Callithrix jacchus: one gene and its partners. The protein of the gene in region 1 interacts with the protein of each later gene in a pairwise test. Links are inferred from orthologs where the notes say so. Each region holds a gene or a part of one and is shown on either strand. Other genes may lie near its edges.

Region 1 (3,644 bases):
TCCCAGCGTGGAGCTGGCAAAGCAAGTGCAGCCAGATTTGGCAAAACCAAAATGTTTATCTTCACTTCAATACCCCTTCCCTTGCCCTGTCTACTTCTCTCCCAATCTTTTCTAGTAATTCAATCTCCACCAGTTCTTGCAATAGTTCCCTTTTTCTTTAGACTGTGCATACTAAAGTATATAAGGAACACCAGCATTCTTCAAGTAACTTCGCATGATAGAAAAAATTCTGACTTGCACACACGACTACCTGCAAGGTATCATAAAAACGTGACTCAGTAAGAACAAAAAGTGCAAAGCACTGATCGTGGGTTCTTACAGAGTATTTTTCTACGGACCTTAAAACCCTCAAGGCTGCTGGCAAGAATGTAGAAAAGGTCTGCTCCAGCTTCCCTGGCAAATGTGGCCTTGATCAGATAGAGGCACAATGCCAGGCAAGAGTGCGTCACCACCCTCACGCTCACACCCACCAATGACACTGCTGCTCACATTCACAGGCATGATACCCTTACCCTCCTCACAGCCACTCCTTATACCTCACCAGTGAACACACTCAACTGCTTATGAAAACAAGACTCATCTCAATTATCAGCTTCCTCAGGTGAAAATACTTCTCACAACACACTTCTCAAGATACTTCCTTTCCTCATCCAAACTGGTTTAGGTCAAAGTGTAAGAACCTGTTAATACTTATATTTAGTCATTAGAATTGCACTTTGCACCTAGCATATAAAAAATGCTGGCTCAGAAGGGAGATGAGCAAAGACTGCATCACGATTTCTTACACATCGAAGCAGGGAACTGCCTTAAGTAACTGTTTCATTTGTATTGGTAAGTGCTCTCTTCATCTCAAATGGTACTGGGTGACAGGACAGGATCCCCAACCTAGAGGAGGAGTTGTTAGACACAACAGACAGCATGCAGGTGCAGAGCAGCGGCCTCACGCATGGAGGGAAAGCCACCTAGAAATCAGCCCCTTTCCAGCTCCTGGCCCCCAGGGGTACAGTCCTCTGGCAAGCACAGGAAAGGCCCTTCTCTGCATGGCACAGAAAGAAGGGGGCGCTGCACACACTCTTCCCACACAGGGTAATCACGGGTCTCAAACCAGCAGAACAGATACCCAGGGAACCGAGACAGGAAGGGGCGCTACACACCCTTCCCTCACAGGGTAACCATGGGCCTCCCAGCAGCAGAGCAGATAACCAGGGAACCCAGGCAGACCCCCTTCTCCATTCTCTAGGAGTCAGGGTGCATTTTGCTGTGTACAGAAGGACCAGCCCGGCACCCCCGGGGCCCGAGGCATGCTCACCGTTGTCTGGCTGTTTGAGTGGTCAAGGGACCTCACCTCCTTGTAGCAGAGAGCAGCTGAGGGCCGGAGGGGAGGCGCAGGCCGCAGGCAGCTCAGGCTCCAAGGCTTGGGTGTTTTCGGAGGCTCCAGGGGTCCCCAGTTGATGGTGGTGTGCGGGGTGCCATGGTGGGAGGGGTGGGGGAGCGTGTGGTAGGCAGGCGTCAGCGGCGCGGGCTTGCTGTCTGCATGCTTGCTGGACGGAGTGACCGGGTGGGAGGGGAGCTGCCGAGGCACAGAGCGGGAAGAAACTCATGTGCTCACTGTGAAAGTGCAGTTATCACGCACTTCCTTCCATTCTTAAACACTCCATGTGAAATAAACCCCAGGATTAATCATTTCATTTGAATCTCTGACTCTCAGCAGTCAGATTTTGGAGCTAAACACCACCTCGCGCCACCTGGGCTGAGCGTGGAGCTCCCCATGGCGTCTGCTCCAGGCAGGAGGGGCAGCTCAAGCTGGGGCTCCACCACTCAGGCATCCACTAGCCACATTAATTGGCTATGCAGTAACATTTATTAATAGAAAAAAGCTACTTCATCTAGTACAAAGATTAGAATTTAAAAAATAACACAGGACGTGGCTGTAAGAAGGAAGGTGATTCTCCCCAGCCACGTATTATTCTTCACCTTGTGATAAAGGACTGGGCAAAACTAAGGCCTGATCACCTACTTTTTTTAAAAAAAGTTTTCCTGGCACACAAGCAGGCCCGTTCCTGTCTATAGCTGCTTTTCTGTCCCAAGGGCAAAGTACAGTGGCAAGAGACCTGAACCTGTAAAGCAGAGAATGTTTACCACCACCTGGCTCTTTAACTGCCAACCCCTGGTATAAAACAAGCTATCTTCTTAGAAAACTCAACTTTAATCAAATCAAAGTTAATCAAAAATTAACTTCTTAGAGGGCTGTGCTATTAATAAATTTTATATTCCTGGAAAACGCAAAATATCCCATCACAATGGCAGTTAAATGAGGAAAGTTAAATAAAATAAGTAATTCTCACAATCAGCTAATGACCTCAAATTAGCCAATAACAGTAAAGGCAAATTTAATGGGAGAATGAGCTGCATGGCGCTGTGAACTGGAGACCTGAGTGGGGTCAGCCTTCTGAAGACACGCACGACATTAACACAGGCTGAGAGGGCAGGTCCCGCAGGAGTGGACGCAGTCAACTGACTACGAGGATCCCATTCTAGTCCCTGCATGGGGAGGGACGTGTGTTAAGATGGAGGCCATGCTAGGAAGCCATGGCAAGGTAATCTTTCCATAGGAAATAAAGCATAGATGGACTGAAAGACGTCGTCAGAGTTAAGTAATGTCTGGTTTTGTTTCTCCTTTTCTCGAAAAAAAAATCAAAGGAGGTATACTTTATGCTAAAATTAGAATATGATTTCAGGTGGACAGAGTTGGATTACAGAAGAGTACGTCATCCCACAAAAGAAACTTGGTGGGAGAACTGTAAGGCACGTGCGTTCCACACTGAAGGGGTGCCTTCCCAGCCACCAGTGAAAGAAACACTAAGACAGAGGATCTGGCCACAGAGAAAAGCTGACTTGATATAAAACTTTAAGAAGTCGACTTTCAGGCTGCTGTTGAAAACCTGAGTGAAGCAGCTCATCCCCACTGTTCTTTATAAACACGTGTGTACACAGGCATCCGTGGGATAAACTGATCTCCATGAAAGAATGGAGAATTTTAAAATGGCAGAGCCATTAAAAATGAAATGCTAGCTGAAAGCCAGTGAGCAGCTATAATCTCCATACTGTGGAGAGAAATCAGATGGACTATGAAACTCTAATGAGAATATCAGAATACAGCAACCCTTCTTGAGCTATACAACCTTAACATGAAGAATAAAACGTGGAAAGTGAGCCACATGACAGAACTGAACCTAACAACCTAATAAGGACGCAAGGACATCTGCAAGCTGAAAGTGTCATCATAATTCATTCTTTGAAAGTTCTGCCCAGTTTTTCGGTATTACTCGATAAAGATGACAGCTGTTAACCCAGTACCAGCTTCTCAAGCACAAAACACCAGGAGAGGTTTAGACACTGCAACTTCAGTGCTTATCTATTCTGAAAAGTGGTAATTCTCTAAAAATACAAAGAGTTGTTGAGCCTTTCTAAGTATAAGATACCTCAATTTCTTAAAACCAAAACAGTGTGTCATAAATTCTATTTTAATGCCTTCAACATGAATTTGGCCCTTATCATCATCAATCATTTATTTTTCTCTCTCATAAATGAAGCATGATAAACAGTTAAAATTCTCAGCAAAATCATCTATAGTTTCGTGTAAA
Region 2 (4,196 bases), on another chromosome or scaffold:
AATAAGAGAAGCCTGTGACCCTGGGGTGGAGTCATACACCACGGGGGCTGGCAGTGGATCTGGCCTCCAGACTACCGGGTACCCTCATGCCTCTCTGCCTGAGATGCTACAGGACCCAGACCAAATGTGCCACTGCTCACCAGGGCCAGCATCCTAATTGTCCAGGTGTGGGACAGTCCCAAACAGCCAGCCAGGGTCCTGACAAGCAGCCAAACACTCGGAATGCCTGCCACATGCCAGACACCTTGCTGGGTGGGAGGTGGGATAATGAGTAAGACTTTGTCCACATCCTTCCCCCACTACCATCCTCACCTTCTCACTACCTTCCTGACCTCTATTGGGGATCAGGGGAAAGGAGATATCTGGGGCACAAATGCCTCTGACGGATGAGGACCTGGGGGTAGGAGCTGGGCAATCCAACATACTACACGCTCACCATTCCTCCCTGAGCTCACTGGGTATCCAGAGGCTTTGGCCAACTACTCAACGCAATGTAGCAAGGACAACTCCCAACTGGGCTCGGTGGCTCAGGCCTGTAATCCCAGCACTTTGGGAGGCTGAGGCAGGTGGATCACCTGAGGTTGGGAGTTTGAGACCAGCCTGACCAACATGGAGAAACCCTGTCTCTACTAAGAATACAAAATTAGCTGGGCGTGGTGGCACATGCCTATAATCCCAGCCACTCAGGAGGCTGAGGCAGGAGAATCGCTTGAACCTAGGAGGCGGAGGTTGCAGTGAGCAGAGATCACGCCATTGCACTCCAGACTGGGTAACAAAAGTGAAACTCTGTCTCAAAAAAAGGAAAAAAAAAAGGGGTAACTGCCTTGCTGGTGTTGCCCTACACCTCACTGCCCCAGAATCAGACCACAGGTTCAGAGATGGCAGCCCCTCAAAAACAATTTCTACTCCAACTTCTTTGCCTCAGAATTGAGGAAACTGAGGCCCCCACAGTGATGAAAGTCTTGCTGGGGTTACAGAGTAAGCTGGGAACAAAGGTACACTACACTAAAGCCCAGGCTCCTCTGATAGGGTATCTGCTAAGCCTCTCCTCCCATCATTCCATGCCCACACCATGGAGGTGCGGAACAATGGGACAGACATTTATAAGGCAAGGTGTCCTCAGCCCTGCCATCCCCAGACCTGTCTGCATCTGGGGAAAGGGAGTCACAGTTTCTTAGGGGTATGGACCCCCACTCCCAGATAGCTCCTCCAGTCATAATGCCCATCGAGTATCTCGTCCCCAAGCCCTGCCAGGTTCCCAGTTCCCAAATACTCTAGCTTGGCACCCCCAGAACCACCAGAGCATCTGTGAGGCTCAACCTGTGGGGTCCTGGGCCTGCTCAAGGGGTGGCTGAAAGTTATGGGTCCACAAAACAGCACACCATACTCTCACTCTTAATCATGCCCACTCTCCCTAGAGTCCACAGACCTCTGGAACCTGCTCCCTGCTCCAGGGAGACAGCTCCTTTTCTAAAGAAAGAATGGATGGGGCTAGAGCTTCCCTCCCAGGCCAGCTGCAGAGCCCCATCACTGGCTGTCCTCCCCCATCAGAAGGGAGCAGCCTCTAGGATCATTACTCCTAACTTCCTCAGCAGGCCAGGGGGGTTTCACTCCAGCCCAGTCCTAACTCTGCTACGAAAGAGAAGGGAACCACTATGTAAATACATCCAGGAGGCAGGCCAGGAAGCCAGCAGGATGGGGGAATCTAGGCACTTTTTTGCCACTGCCTCCCATCCATTTCTGGCCAGACTGGGCTAGCGGACAGGGAGGAGCCGAGCCCAGGATAGCTCAATGCCAAGCTCGCGTTCTCAAGCAGGCCTTACTGGGGAACAGCAAAAGCAGGGTCCAGCCGAGCTGTTCCCAGTCACCAGCAGGCCTGGGGATGCCGCCAGGGAAAACACCCGGGTCTGGACTGGCCCTGAACACCAGGCCCCACAAGGAGCCCCAGCGTTAGGAACCCGAGGCAGGGAGTCCTGGGAGTAGCCACCGCTCATCTGCTCCTGAGGAGACGGTATCCAGGCTCCACTGGCGCATATGCCCGGCCCTCTGCTCCTTGCCCTCCACCACCCCGGCGGGCGTGCCGACCACGAGAGCAGCAGGTGCAAGACGCGGGGGTGGCACTGAGATGACACAAAACCACACTCGCCCCCTCCTCCCAAACCCTGCCGGCCTCCGCCACGGCCCTCCTGCCACCCCAGGCTGGCGCTTCCGTTGGATATAGAGATGGAGGTGGAGGAGCAGCCAGCTGCCCGCCTCCCTCAGACCGAGGGGTGGGAGGCGGCGCCGGGAACGTCCTTCCTCGCTAGTCCACGGCCGCCAGGGAGCAGGGGCCTCCCCAGGCCGGCTCTCCAGCCTAGGACGCGGCTCCGCAGTGGCCCGGGCGGGGGCCGAGCCTGGAGGCCGAGGCCCCCCGCCCGGCCCCGCCCTCGGGCCCCGCACGGCGCTCCCGCCTGGCCCCGGCGCCCGCCCGGCGGCGGCGGCCTGGCTGTGCGGTCCCGCCCCCGGCCCGGCCGCGCTTACCCGGGGCGCTGCAGTCCGCACACACCTCCGTTCGCGGCCCCTTCCGGGACATCCTCAGCGGCGACGCGGCCGCAGCCCTCTGGGCCAGCGTGGGGGGCGCGGGCGGCGGGCCCGGGCGGCGGCGGCGGCGGTCCCTGCTGCCCGGCCCGGCTCCGGCGTGGCCCCGGCGAGGCTCCGCGCGCCCGGCCAACCGTCCGCCCCGGGGCTGGCCCGGAACCCGCCGTGCCCGCCTGCCCGCTCGCCCTCGGGCGTCCTCCGCCCCGCGCCGCCCCGCGCCGCCCCGCCGCCGCTTGCCGCTCCTCTCTCCGCCCCCTGCGCGGCTCCCGGCCGCTCCTGCAGGAAGCGGCGCAGGCCCTGCCCACCGGGGGAGGGGCCGCACCCCCGCCCCGCCGCGCGCTGCCGGCCGCGCCCCCCGGAGAAAGGAAGCCCGGGCGCGGGAGGGAGGGGGGCGGGGACGCTTAAAGGGGCCGCGGCCGCCGCCGGGTGCCGGCGGGCAGCGTGGCCTGAGGCCTCGGCCTCTGCTGCAGCGCTCTCCTGGCCCGGAGGCAGTGTGAGTCACCCTCACAGCCCCCTCCCCTTCACTTTCGGTGTCGGGTGGCCCGGGCGACGCTGGGCCCAGGGACAGCGAGGGCGGGGATTAGGGAAGAGAGGAAGGACTTGGAGGCCCAAGTCCCGCTCCACGTCAAAGGGGCTGTGCCTTGAGTACCCGTCTATCTCTGGTTGGGGTGAAGTGTGCGTCCCGGTCCTGTAGTGTCCACATCTGTGTGTCCAGGTGTGTGTGTGGTGTCACACTCTTGCTGAAAACGCCCACACAATATGGACGCCCAGGTGCCGGAAAGGTCAGGCAGTGTATTCCTGTCTTCGGACTAAAAATACATCTATCTCTCCATGCATGCTTCCATCCAGAGAGGAGAGAATCTGGACGGTTTTAAAGACCTCCCGAGGAGTGACCACTGTGCCTGTGTGCACTCATATCCACTTGTCATCCGGCCTATACACACCCACGGTGTTTCTGGGCCACCAGAGGTATGTGTGTCCAGAAAGGGTTCATATAACATAGAGGGGCCATTTCAGGTGACGGCTTTTCTTCTGGATTCACACGAAGAGACAGGCAAAGGCGAGGCAGGTGAGGAACGTGGGTGGCCAGGGGGGCAGGGAGCCTAGGTGCAGGCCGCACGTGGGTGCAGCCCCCGCACTGAGCATGCTCCCACGTACACGTGTGCCGCGCGTGCACCCAACCCCCAATCCCTGCAGCAGCAAAAGGCGGGGCACTCCTCTGCTTGTGGGGAGAGGGCAGGGGACCCCAGGGCCAGACCTGGGGGCCAGATCAGTGGTGACGATTGAGGAAGAGTTCTCCAAAAGTCAGAGTCTCCTGCTCGGTAAGAAGATGGGGGCAGTCCTTGGGCAGGGGTGCTCAAGTTGGTAGATTTATCCCAGCGGTGCCAGAGCAGCAGTGACTTGTGGGTGGGCAGGCTCCTTCCCTAGGGGAGACAAGTAATGCTCATGAGTCACACCACCCGAAATACATGCAAAGCTGCCTCCATCGCCTTTTGCTGCGGCCCAGATTGACAAGTTTGTTTGAAATCGCGATCTATGGGCTTTATTTATAATTGCACCTTAAAAAAAACCTTGCAGGCCTCCCCTACCCCAACAGCCAGCCACTCAGCCGGTGGGGC
Region 3 (4,343 bases), on another chromosome or scaffold:
TGAGTAAACCCTACAATCAATGCATGTTTATCAGCTATACCTTGTTGTCTATGTGCATATGACACCACTTCTATTGTTATTTTGACTGCATATCATAAGCAAAAGTGTTTTGTTTTAAAATTAGTACATGGTTTATTTCTAAACAAAATTTGATTTTATCATTACAGTGTAGCACCAAAAAGAGGAAATGAAATGTTTATGTTTATCAAAAAGGACTCTCAATTCAAAAACCTTGAGAAACTCTGATAAAAGGCAATGTATCCTTGTATCTTCCCTCTGCAGCACATTCTGGCTATCACTCTAACAGTCTCATAAGACTTTGAGGCCCCAGTGTACCATTTGAAAGACACCATAAGGGAACTCCCAATTTGCCCAGTATTTTCTGCTACTTTACAGGGAGGTTTTCATGGAGAACTAAGGGTCATAAAAACTGCATTTATGCAAGATTCACTTTGGGCAAAAAGTTAAATGCTTGAGAATTTCTCATCTGCCTAAGTTAATTCCTTATGTGGTTCTGGCCTACACAGGCAAAAGGCTAAAGTTGTCCTTCTGTCTTATATATTGTACTGAAGGCAATCTTTTGCAGAAGGTAAGATACACAATACTATTCCTGTTTTATAAATATGGAAAGTGAGACCCAGAGAATTTGAGTGACTTTCCCAGAGTCCACACCCTAACCCATCGATGTCCATTCAGTTTCTTACAGTAAAGAACAGAATTTGCCTTGACAGTGTGTTGATTCAAAAATATTTGCTGAGTGCCTATTATGTGTTTCTGTGTTCCTGGTGATGGAGACAATGTCTCTACCCTCATGGAGATTATATTTTTGCAGGAGCGTCCAGCAATAAGTAGGTAAGTAAGCAAGTTATCAGATAGTTTAAAGCTCTTTGAAGAAAAGTAGAGATGGAGCGAGTGTATCAGGGACAGGGAGAGAGCAGTTGTTCTAGGTAGTGGTCAAGCAAGTCCTCTCTGAGGGAGGAGACAGTTGAACAAACATGTGAACAATAAGTGCAGAAATCCTAAGTGGGGGCATTTTTTAGGAGCTTGAGAAATGGCCAGGAGCCCAGTGAGGCTGAAGCCTTAGGTGTATCTTGACTCTCACTATACCCTGTTGTCCCTCCTCTGCCCAGACTTGTTTTGTACTTTCTTTTTCACCTTTGGGTTAAGGAGCATGTTATCTCCTTTGTCAGCTTCCCTAAAGCAGTACCTTTCACCTGCCCACTGCACCTTCTTTCAATGAGAAAAGAGCCTAAGAATCCCAGCTGGTTTTCTTTGCCCTTCCCTAGGTTCCACATGGAAACAATAATGATATAAGCAAAACATAAAGATTCAAGCCCAAGACAATCAATAGCTTCCACGTATTTCCCTTGAAGCCTTTATGAAAAATGTATTTAGAGCATGATAGGAGAGCTGCAACAAACAAGGCTTGACCATTTTTAATAACCAATATACAGTGAAAATCCTCTAACACCAGCATCGGGATCATCTTTCTTCACTGACCCATAAGGTATTTCAAACTCTTGTAGTGTATCATCAGATGCTGAACTTACTACCAAGCATTTAACCTCATTTGGTTTCTGTCTAGAACCTACTATGCAGGGTTGTTGTTTTCATGGATTTTTTTATTCCGCTGACAATAATGCTTGAGCTAGCTAGGTACTTCCTTAGAAATGCCCCCATGATTCCTAAAAGAAATCAACTGAAAAGAGGAGATATAATAATAATAATATATCTTTAGTATTATTCAATGGATAAGAAAACTGGGGGACTGAAAGGTTAATTTGCCCAGGTCACAAGACTAACATCTGACTAGCGCAGGACTACATCTCAGATCTGCCTGACTCTGGAGCACTGGAGCAACGACACAGGTGAATTTGATTCAAAATGAAGCCTTAGACTGAGACATGCCTAGGCAAAGGGCAAAGCTGAATCATAACAAGGGTGTTTTCCCTCCATTCCCTTTAAGACTACTGTGAGTCCTAATGTTTATCAAGAAGGATCCTATTTCTGAAATCCCCTGCCCCACCCCTCACAGACACTACCTTTCTAAAGAATGCTACATCAGCAGATCCAGAGAGATGATTTTACTTTCACACATCCCCCTCCTCTCTCAGCATCTTGACCTAACTGGCATTGCATTCTTAAAGTAATTGACTGTTTCTTAATCTGCCTCCTCTCTCTGAATGTCATGCTCTTTCTTTGGGATGACACTTCAAAAGTCATTTAAAGAGAGCTAGAGTACGGAGCCACCCGATAGGAGTTAAAATGGAAGTTGGGAGCCTGGGTCTTTCTTGGAGCAAAGGTAAACTTTAGACCATATTTCACCACCCTAAAGGGCATTCTCTGCAGCTGCCCCAAAAGCCCCTGGTGAGGGCCTTCTGGAGAGCAGGAGGCCCAGGGAATGAAATCCCCAGCGAGGGACTCAGGCGAAAGTGTGTTCCCTCACGGCCCTGGACTAGACTTGAGGGTGGGTCATGAAGAAGGCCTCAGCAAGCTGCTAACGCCAGCACCCTTGCCCGCCTCAGCCTCTGCCCTGGCCTCAGCTGCCAGTGCCCACCATCCACATGCTCAGCAGGCCCCTGCCTGCCACAGAATACTCACAGCACACACAGGCAGTACACGCCTGGCACGCTCTCGCTGTCCCTCAGCAAATAGCTGCCATCCAGCCCAGTGGCGAGCAGGAGCTTCTCGCCGGTCTCCCTGCTGATTTTCCCGTGATACACAGCCACTGCATCCATGGCCTGGTGGACTCTCGGGCAGGCCGAGGAGGAGGATTGTACAAGGGAGATGCCGCTGCTACTGCAGCCAGGCACAGATCAACCACCTGACTCCCAGTTCAGCCAGATGTGCAAAAAAGAGAGAGGCACCCAAACAACAGGATGTTGTCTACTTGCCTTAAACCTCCTTCTCACACTTCAATTAAAACCAGCTCAGCAATTTAGTAGCTTGGTTTAATCGAGCTTGCCAAGGGCTTCCATCTCCTGCCCCCCAACACAGGGTTCTTACAGAGGGGAGGAAAATTAGAAGAAGGATTTTGCAAGATTTGAGCTGTACTGCCAACACACACCCTTGCACGCAGATAGGGATGCTTAGTAATGCTTCTGTTCTTGCAGATTACTCAGAGGCCACAAGGAATAACTTAGCTCAACCAGCCGGTAAGGAGTTGATGATAGAGGCAAGTTATACATGTCTCTGTCGGTATGTGGACCCATCATGTAGGGCAGAAACATACTGACAGAATGAAAGGACCAAAAGCTCTGAGAACAAAACACTAATAGTTTTATTAGTACTGTCATTATGCAATCATTACTGAACACGGCCATGAAGACTCCTACAGAATCAGACATAGCAGATGAACAGTGAACTTTGGGCAAGTTCTTTTTCTCCTTCTTCCTTCTACCTCATGCAGTCATCTTGAGAAGTCTTGGTCCTGACCAATATTGATTTCTTTCCTAACACCTTGTCCAAGGTCCCAAAGTGCTAGTTGAGATACAAAAGTCACAATGCACATCCAAAGATGTTCCAGATTTAAGTATTTGATGGGCTTTAGATGAGACAATGTAACATTTAACTGGTGATTTGTCTTAATGCAAATTTGTATGTGCCCTTTGGTGTATAAGGCCCACCTTTCAGCATTTTGTCCAAAAAATCTGTTTTAAATCATTTGCAAGCGTTGATAATTTTGTTGTAACTTTTATTGTCTGTTGTTTCTAAACAATGTTATTTCTTCGATTGATGCTAAACTGTCTTTAATATTTTAAAACCTTTCAACCTCCATTTTCTTCTCTGAAATAAAGCATTGCTTCTATTTCAAAATGTGCTAGGTAATATTTCCCCAAAACTTCTTGCATTTTCACTAGAGTAAGAATTTATTGCTGAAGCTGAATGGTCTTATACATGTACCTTTAGATTATGCAAAGTACTTGTAAAATTGGAATTAAAATAACTGAAGCTATGTGATCTATTATATGCTTTCTGCAACTTCAGCGTGTAGTTCTTTGAGAATATGGCAATGCTGGGAGCTCAATAGGGAGAGCAATACTTAATTCCTCACATGTCTTACCAATGGATTGCAGGTACAGAGCTGACTTGCACCAAAGGCAGATATTTGCTCTTCATCGACTAGGGTTAGGAAAAATCCTCTAAGATTTCAGTGATAGCTGGTAGCAACTTTTCTTCTTGATTGAAGAGTGCCCAGCCTTACTATGCAAAGTATAAACATAAATCTCCTACAGTCATTTTCAGCATTAAGATTTAATAAAAAAGCATTCAAGGTGATATTGGAGATGGCTCTGGGGAACTGGGCCGATATTTTCTTATCATCTTTCTTTCTCACATGTTTT

Evidence for each region.
Region 2: the proteins of ARHGEF7 (region 1) and GIT1 interact in binary tests that used the Homo sapiens proteins (3 or more experiments, as listed by UniProt). The link is inferred for Callithrix jacchus from reciprocal best matches to the Homo sapiens genes ARHGEF7 and GIT1.
Region 3: the proteins of ARHGEF7 (region 1) and SH2D1A interact in binary tests that used the Homo sapiens proteins (3 or more experiments, as listed by UniProt). The link is inferred for Callithrix jacchus from reciprocal best matches to the Homo sapiens genes ARHGEF7 and SH2D1A.

The regions. Positions count from the first base shown.
Region 1 is NC_133502.1:26,831,169-26,834,812, reverse strand, and holds part of ARHGEF7 (rho guanine nucleotide exchange factor 7), read right to left. Parts: intron 1,571-3,644; coding exon 1,310-1,570; intron 1-1,309. UniProt on the Homo sapiens protein: Acts as a RAC1 guanine nucleotide exchange factor (GEF) and can induce membrane ruffling. Functions in cell migration, attachment and cell spreading. Promotes targeting of RAC1 to focal adhesions. May function as a positive regulator of apoptosis.
Region 2 is NC_133506.1:104,019,927-104,024,122, reverse strand, and holds the start of GIT1 (ARF GTPase-activating protein GIT1), read right to left. Parts: upstream 2,835-4,196; 5' UTR 2,573-2,834; coding exon 2,521-2,572; intron 1-2,520. Other genes in the region: ANKRD13B (ankyrin repeat domain-containing protein 13B), read left to right, coding at 3,409-3,546. UniProt on the Homo sapiens protein: GTPase-activating protein for ADP ribosylation factor family members, including ARF1.
Region 3 is NC_133524.1:120,100,086-120,104,428, reverse strand, and holds the start of SH2D1A (SH2 domain-containing protein 1A), read right to left. Parts: upstream 2,827-4,343; 5' UTR 2,739-2,826; coding exon 2,602-2,738; intron 1-2,601.